Mus musculus: one gene and its partner. The protein of the gene in region 2 purifies or fractionates together with the protein of the main gene of each other region. This does not show direct contact. Links are inferred from orthologs where the notes say so. Each region holds a gene or a part of one and is shown on either strand. Other genes may lie near its edges.

What was found. Proteins that work in one complex are often made in the same cells at the same time.
Region 1: the proteins of Kcna5 (region 2) and Kcnab2 purify together in Homo sapiens (co-immunoprecipitation; 3 studies listed by BioGRID and IntAct, counting the BioPlex papers as one, with this or other methods). This does not show direct contact. The link is inferred for Mus musculus from reciprocal best matches to the Homo sapiens genes KCNA5 and KCNAB2.

What each region holds. Positions count from the first base shown.
Region 1 is NC_000070.6:152,393,550-152,396,855, forward strand, and holds part of Kcnab2 (voltage-gated potassium channel subunit beta-2), read right to left. Parts: intron 3,293-3,306; coding exon 3,207-3,292; intron 1,697-3,206; coding exon 1,576-1,696; intron 1,475-1,575; coding exon 1,380-1,474; intron 862-1,379; coding exon 741-861; intron 282-740; coding exon 193-281; intron 1-192.
Region 2 is NC_000072.6:126,532,756-126,536,919, reverse strand, and holds the start of Kcna5 (potassium voltage-gated channel subfamily A member 5), read left to right. Parts: upstream 1-1,364; 5' UTR 1,365-1,756; coding exon 1,757-3,565; 3' UTR 3,566-4,164. UniProt on the Homo sapiens protein: Voltage-gated potassium channel that mediates transmembrane potassium transport in excitable membranes. Forms tetrameric potassium-selective channels through which potassium ions pass in accordance with their electrochemical gradient.

The sequences.
Region 1 (3,306 bases), on a different chromosome or scaffold from region 2:
TCACGGAGGTGGCTCTCTCAACACACCCACTCGAAACATTTGTGTCTGATTCTGTGAGGACCAGCTCTGCAAGAAGCAGGGCTCAATTGCGATCCCTGTACAGCTTATACTCCCGGAAAGGTGTCCAGTGAAGCTGTGTCTCCAGGAAGGCTGGGGATACCTGAGCCCACCACCGGGGCCCCCGCATCTCACCTGTATTGCTCCAATGTTCTCCATAAGTTGTTCTGCATTGGAAGCACCCAGAAGCACGGAGCTGACACCCTCATTCCTCAGGCACCAGGCTGTGGGCAGCGAGACCAGAGGTGAGGGCGGAACCCTCTGCAGGGCCTGCCTGCCTGAGCGTGCCTGGGCAAAGGTAGTGGAGCTCTTGTCTGGGGCCCGAGGGGGCTTGGGACGCTCAGTAGTACTGGGAGAGTTTGCCCATGGGGCTAGAAGAGGTTCTGGCCACACTGTCTCTGCTGGAGAGGTGGCCCAAGTGTTTAAAGATCCCTTCTATCCTCCATGACCCCTGGCTAGCTGCCTGAAGCTCTAGGCTGGTGGCCTAGGCTCTTAAAGAGACAGAGTCCACCTCTGCCCCTGAGAGTCCTTACCCTGGCCATCATGGGGGTTCTCTCCAGGGCCCCTTTCCACAGTGTAGCTAGACAACTACCTAAAGACATCTTGGGGTGGGGGAGGTATAGCTCAGGCCCTCAGGGACCCCAGGAGCAAGTGTCTCGCTATTGTACCCAGAGCCCATTTACCTATGGCCAGCTGGGGTAGGGTGCAGCCCAGGCGTTCGGCAATGGCCTGCAGTTCCTTCAGCTTGGCCTGCTGGCGGCGACCCTCCTCACTCAGGATCTTGTCCTTCAACCACTGGTAGCCCTGGGAAGGGGAAAGCCCAGGTAAGGGAAGGTCCCTGGACCTCTCGATGCAGGTACTCTTCCTCTAGAGATTCCTTCCTGGGCTCTTTTGTCCCCTGGCCTCATGCTTGGCCCTGGGCCAGACTTAGACTCTTTCATATCATGAAGGAGAAGGATGGTGGTGGATTGACCTGACCCTGAGCCAGAAGCACAGGCTGCCCACCGTTTGCCCTCAAGGCTCTTGTCTCCCGCATATGAACATTCTCATTCTTCCTGGGTGTTCTCTCACAGGGATGGGGTTGGACTTTGGGCCAACTCTTAAGCTTTGTCTGGGGTATCCAAGATGGGAGCGTGGGTCAATCATGGGTAAGGAACATATCATACACTAGTAGACCAGCTTGTACTGTGAATACTGAGCCATGGTAGGGGAGTGGTTCGTGGGCCTGCTTACCCGGGGCTAGCCCCACCCCACGGGTGGGAGAAAGGCCTGTATCCTCATTCTTATGCCAAAGGCACCCCTCCCCCCACAGCTGTGCTCACCTTCAGGGAGGCTCTGGAGTAGGGTGGGATCCCGCTGTCATACTTCCCTGAGACGATGCCGCACGCCAGAGGGGACCAGGTCATGGCACCTACTCCTGAGAGGGTGCAAGAGAGAGAGAGAGAGAGAGCAGGTGAGGTCAAGCTGGTCCTGAGGGGAGGAGAAGAGTGGCTGACGGCAAGGTAGGACAGTACCCACCTATCTTGTGGAACAGCTCTGGCAGCTGGACCTCCACCTTCTCCCTCTGGAACATGTGATATTCCGCTTGCTCGCAGATGGGCGGGATCAGGTTGAACTGCCGAGCCACCGAGTAGGCCTCCTGAGGTGCGGAAGCAGACCATTGCCATCAGCCACCTGCAGCCCCAGGGACCTTACTGCTCTCTCTATCCCCATCCCCACCCCACCCCCCAGCTTTCCTGAGAGCCCAGAGGGTGGGCTTTGGAATCCTAAGACTTAAAGGGCCGAGGCAAATGGGATCAACGGTACCTCAGTTTCCCCATTTGTCATACGGTTCCAATGAGTCAAGGTGCCTGTAGCTCTTCTAATTGGGCCTGGCTCATTACTGGCACTCCGCACAGCATGCCTGTTGCCCTGTGGCCCTGACCTCAAAGGTAGTGCTCCCTCAGGAGGCAGCAGCTCTGTCTGCTAACCCTGGGATCAGGAGCTTGGGGTCTTGGCTTGGAGGTGCTCCCTTAAATTCCATGGATGAGGTGAGCTCGCTACTGTGTGTAGACAGTTGTATGGCAGGGGACACGCTTGCCACTTAGGGAGGAGCTGTCCCACTTTGGTCTGAGACTCAGCTTCCTCATTTATAAAATGGGATAGCGACACTCAGATTTTTCTGAGTCCTGGCTGTGGGCAGTCAGAGCAAGATGCCCGACAAAGGCTCTGGAGTGTACTCAAAAGCTGACTTATGCCAGGGTCTTCTCAAGTCCCCCAGGATTTGAAACAGCCTAACCCCACCCACCCTTGTACTTCTTGCCAACACAGGATGAAGCAGGGACCTGTGATTCACTGTAGCTACAGCTATGGAATGCTGGGACACCGGGCATGGGTGGGGTGAGGCCAGATGAGGAGTGGAGGTGTGGGTAGGGAGGCGGGGTAGTCAGGAAAGAGTCTCTACGACCCCTCTGCCCTCAGGCAGCCTCATCATCTGGGCACTCCCTTCAGTGTCACTGTCAGCAGGGACATCCTGCTGACTCTTCCTGGGAACCACAGAATACCCAGGGACACAGGTTGCTGTAGCCTCTGACGGCTCCCATGGGAGAGAAGGACAATTACTGGGGTGCTTTGTTGAGAATAAGGATGAAGGGAGAAACCACGGATTAACAGAAATTTGGATCCTAGCAGCTGGGTTGGTCATTTTCCAAGACAGCCCAGGATCTGTCCGGCATTATCTAGGTATCAGCCTTGAAGTAAGGCAATGTAACCTAAAGCATGGGACTTCACCCCCATCCCTGACCTCCCCATTTGAGACATGGGGCAACATCAGCATTTACCTCCTGTGGCACTGTAGAGGTTAAATCTCAAATCCCACAGAACAGCCTACCACGTGGCAATGAGCATAGGTGCCGAGGCTTGCTTAGGCTCTAAGATCACACTTAAAGCTTCCTATAGGTTTTCCCCAGAAGCCTCAGAGCAGGCCATGAGGGTAAGCCATCCATGCAGGGCCATGTTGAGTCAGGTTGAGACCCATGGCTATGCCAATCACACCCTCGCCAAGCACACGTACCTAAGTCTTGGTTTCTCCTCCCACAAAAAAAACAAAAACAAAAACAAAAACACAAAACAAAAACCCCATGCCTGCGGACACACGGGCGTCACCCTACCATGATCTCCATGGAGCTCCAGCGTGATGTGCCCCAGTACATGGCCATCCCCTGGTTGATGACATGGGTCATGGCCCGCACGGTCTCTGAGAGAGAGAAA
Region 2 (4,164 bases):
AAAACAAAAAACATCTGGAGGAAGCTGTATCTAGAATTGGCTGACAGACCTTGAAAAATCCTCCCCTTGGCTTTTGGAGACCACAACAGCCTCAGAGACTAAAGACAAGGGCAGAGTGTAGAGAGGGACCCTGGCATCCCAGCCTAGAACCCAATCTTTATCTTACTCATTCTTCTGCCTCCTGCAATGGAAGAAGGGCCTCAGGCCAGATGTGGGGAGGGGAGAAAGAAGCGAGCTCCCTAAACCCAGCAACTTGGGTTTGAATTGCAGCGTTGATACTTTCTAGTTCTGTGGCCTCCATATACAATGTAGTCAAGTTCTGTGGCCTCCATATACAATGTAGTCAATCTATCTGTGCCTGAGTTTCTTTGTATGTTGAAGGTAGTCCTAGTACTTACAAAGTAAGCTGATGCAAAAACACACAAGTCCAGAATGATCTGGACATACTAGCAATAAATAAGTCCCTCTGCCTCCTCTTTACACAGGTTTCTATGCAGTCGCTAGCTTAGAGCTTTCCCGTGCACAATTATTCTCCACCAGGATTTATTCTCTTTTCTCACTGTGCATTTTACAAAAAGAGGATTAGGTGAGGAGGCTGGAGGGATGGCGAAGAATGCAGAGGCAGGAGACCAGACAGCTTCTCTCTCAGTTGAGACTCCTCCTGGCTCCATACTAGCAGATCAAATCACCAATGTCTGGATGATGAAAAGCAGGCTTAAGGGGGTGCTGTGAGGTCTCAGTCTCATACCTTCCAATGGATCTGTAGATAGACTGGAAGAGTTCCAGAGTACACACACACACACACACACACACACACACACACACACACACACACAGCTCGCTGCTCCCCTGCAGTGTCATTTTTCCCAAAGAGAGAGGCTGTTAATCTATAAAGCATTGGTTTTGCAACCTGTGGTTCACAATCCTTTTGGCAAACCTCTATTTCCAATAATATTTACATTACACTTCAGTAACAAATTCCATTTATGTTATGATAACAATAGTAAAATCACAGTTATGAAGTAGCAACAAAAATAAATTTACCGTTGTGGGGTTCACCACAACATGAGGAACAGTGTTAAAGGTTGCAGCAGCATTAGCAAGGTTGAGAAGCACTGCTCTAAAAGAAAAACACCCAGAGCACTCTCTTCTCCACTCACTGGAACTCAGCTACAAGCCTTCCCCTTGCATCTAAAGCAGTTCCCACCCCCTGGAGTCCCCTTTCCGCTTTCTGTGCATTCCCAGGTGATCTGAGATCCTGAAGCTATTCTCATCCTGTTGCCCTGGGAGTTTTCAGCGCTCCTGGTACAACCTGTTCCTCGCTCCTCAGGCTCTTTTCCTCCTCCCCTTCCTGTCCTTGCTGCTGGGGCCCCAGCTGAACCCTCCAGAGAGACACTCTCTGACTCCGTCCCCAGAGGAGAAACAGGAGGGGGAGGAGGAGAGGAGGGAGCCACAGAGGGCGGAGGCCGGGGAGCTCAGCCAGAGAGGGGCTGCTGGAGGTTGCATCTGCTGGAAGGAGGTTTTTCTGCTGCCTGGTAACCAGCTGCCAGAACACTGAGAGGGAGAGAGAGAGGCAGGGAGCAGGGGCAGCAGCTTCTTGACGTCAGGACCAGCCAAGGGGATCCAGCCAGCTACCCCAGCCAGCCTAGAGCCAGCGGGGGCCCTCGGCTGAAGAGGAAACCGCGAGGCGCGGAGCGTGAGTTGGGGTGTGGGAACCGGTTGTCTGGGGGCGCAGCATGCCCCTTGCCCCCGGGCCATGGAGATCTCCCTGGTGCCCATGGAGAACGGCAGTGCCATGACCCTCAGAGGAGGAGGGGAGGCAGGGGCAAGCTGTGTGCAGAGCCCCAGGGGAGAGTGTGGGTGCCCTCCGACGGCTGGACTCAATAATCAGTCCAAAGAAACATCACCGAGGAGGCGCGCCACACACGAGGATGCGGGCCAGGGTGGGAGGCCTTTGCCCCCTATGCCTCAGGAGCTGCCACAGCCTAGAAGGCCATCTGCTGAGGATGAGGAGGGAGAAGGCGACCCTGGCCTGGGCACAGTGGAGGAGGACCAGGCTCCTCAGGACTCAGGATCACTCCATCACCAGCGGGTCCTCATAAACATCTCGGGTTTGCGCTTTGAGACGCAGCTGGGCACCCTGGCGCAGTTTCCCAACACCCTCCTGGGGGACCCAGTCAAACGCCTGCGCTACTTCGATCCCTTGAGAAATGAGTACTTCTTCGACCGCAACCGGCCTAGCTTCGATGGCATTTTGTACTACTACCAGTCTGGGGGCCGCCTGCGCAGGCCGGTCAATGTCTCCCTGGATGTGTTTGCAGATGAGATCCGCTTTTACCAGCTGGGGGACGAGGCCATGGAGCGCTTCCGGGAGGATGAAGGCTTCATCAAGGAAGAGGAGAAGCCCCTGCCCCGCAATGAGTTCCAGCGCCAGGTGTGGCTTATCTTCGAATACCCAGAAAGCTCTGGGTCAGCAAGAGCCATTGCCATCGTGTCGGTCTTGGTCATTCTCATCTCTATCATCACCTTCTGCTTGGAGACTCTGCCTGAGTTCAGGGATGAACGGGAGCTGTTACGCCACCCCCCAGTGCCGCCGCAGCCCCCAGCCCCTGCCCCAGGGGCAAATGGCAGTGGCTCTGGTGTCCTTTCCTCTGGCCCCACAGTGGCTCCGCTCCTGCCTAGGACACTGGCTGACCCATTCTTCATCGTGGAGACCACATGTGTGATCTGGTTCACTTTTGAGCTGCTTGTGCGTTTCTTTGCTTGCCCCAGCAAGGCAGAATTCTCTCGGAATATTATGAACATCATTGATATTGTGGCCATCTTCCCCTACTTTATCACCCTGGGCACCGAGCTGGCAGAGCAACAACCAGGGGGTGGTGGTCAGAATGGGCAGCAGGCCATGTCCCTAGCCATCCTCAGGGTGATCCGCCTGGTCCGGGTGTTCCGAATCTTCAAGCTCTCCCGCCACTCCAAGGGACTGCAGATCCTGGGTAAGACCTTACAGGCGTCCATGCGGGAGCTCGGGCTGCTCATCTTCTTCCTCTTCATCGGAGTCATCCTCTTCTCCAGCGCTGTCTACTTCGCAGAGGCAGACAATCAGGGGTCGCACTTCTCCAGTATCCCGGATGCATTCTGGTGGGCAGTAGTCACTATGACCACTGTAGGCTACGGGGACATGAGGCCCATCACTGTAGGGGGCAAGATTGTGGGCTCACTGTGCGCCATAGCTGGGGTCCTCACCATTGCTCTGCCTGTGCCCGTCATCGTCTCCAATTTTAATTACTTCTATCATCGGGAGACAGACCACGAGGAGCAGGCTGCCCTGAAGGAAGAGCAAGGCATCCAGAGGCGGGAGTCTGGGCTGGACACAGGAGGTCAACGGAAGGTCAGCTGCAGCAAGGCCTCCTTCTGCAAGACTGGGGGACCCCTGGAGAGTACTGACAGTATCAGAAGGGGTAGCTGTCCTCTAGAAAAGTGTCACCTAAAGGCCAAGAGCAACGTGGACCTGCGAAGGTCTCTGTATGCCCTCTGTCTGGACACTAGCCGGGAAACAGATTTGTAAAGAGAGATCAAGGCAGACTTGCAACAGCAGAGCTGGGAACCGGTTCCTCTTGAGCTTGCTTATCTGCTTTACACCATAGAGTATTTAAGCCCACCTGGTCACCCATCAAAGTCCGGATCCTGTCTTTCCCCGTTTACCCTTCCCACCCTCCTGCCCTCTAACTTCCCCATCCCCCCCCCTTTCCATAACACCAAGGGTCACCTATTTTTAAAAAGTATCGCATTCCATGACGCAGGAGCCGTTGAAGTGGTGAGCATTCACTGTAAGATGGATGTATTCATAGCCAGTTTTCTATACCCAGCAGAGGGATAACTCAAACAAAATTGACTTTAAATAGCTCAGATCCCAAGAGAGTCCATAGCCCTCTCTATTCCTGTGTTCCAAATTTACTTTACACGTGATTATATTTGTATATGGCAAATATTATTCTTATGGCTGACGAGTGCATTTTGTACAGCAGTGCACATGAAGAATATTTGGGTGTGTTCTTAAGATGTACTTTGAATTATGAAGTCTTGGGGGGGGTCATCATTTCCTGGGACAACCCAGGGGCAGAGACACTAAAGAAGTTGTTCAAGTTTGTGTTCCCAAGCCTCCCA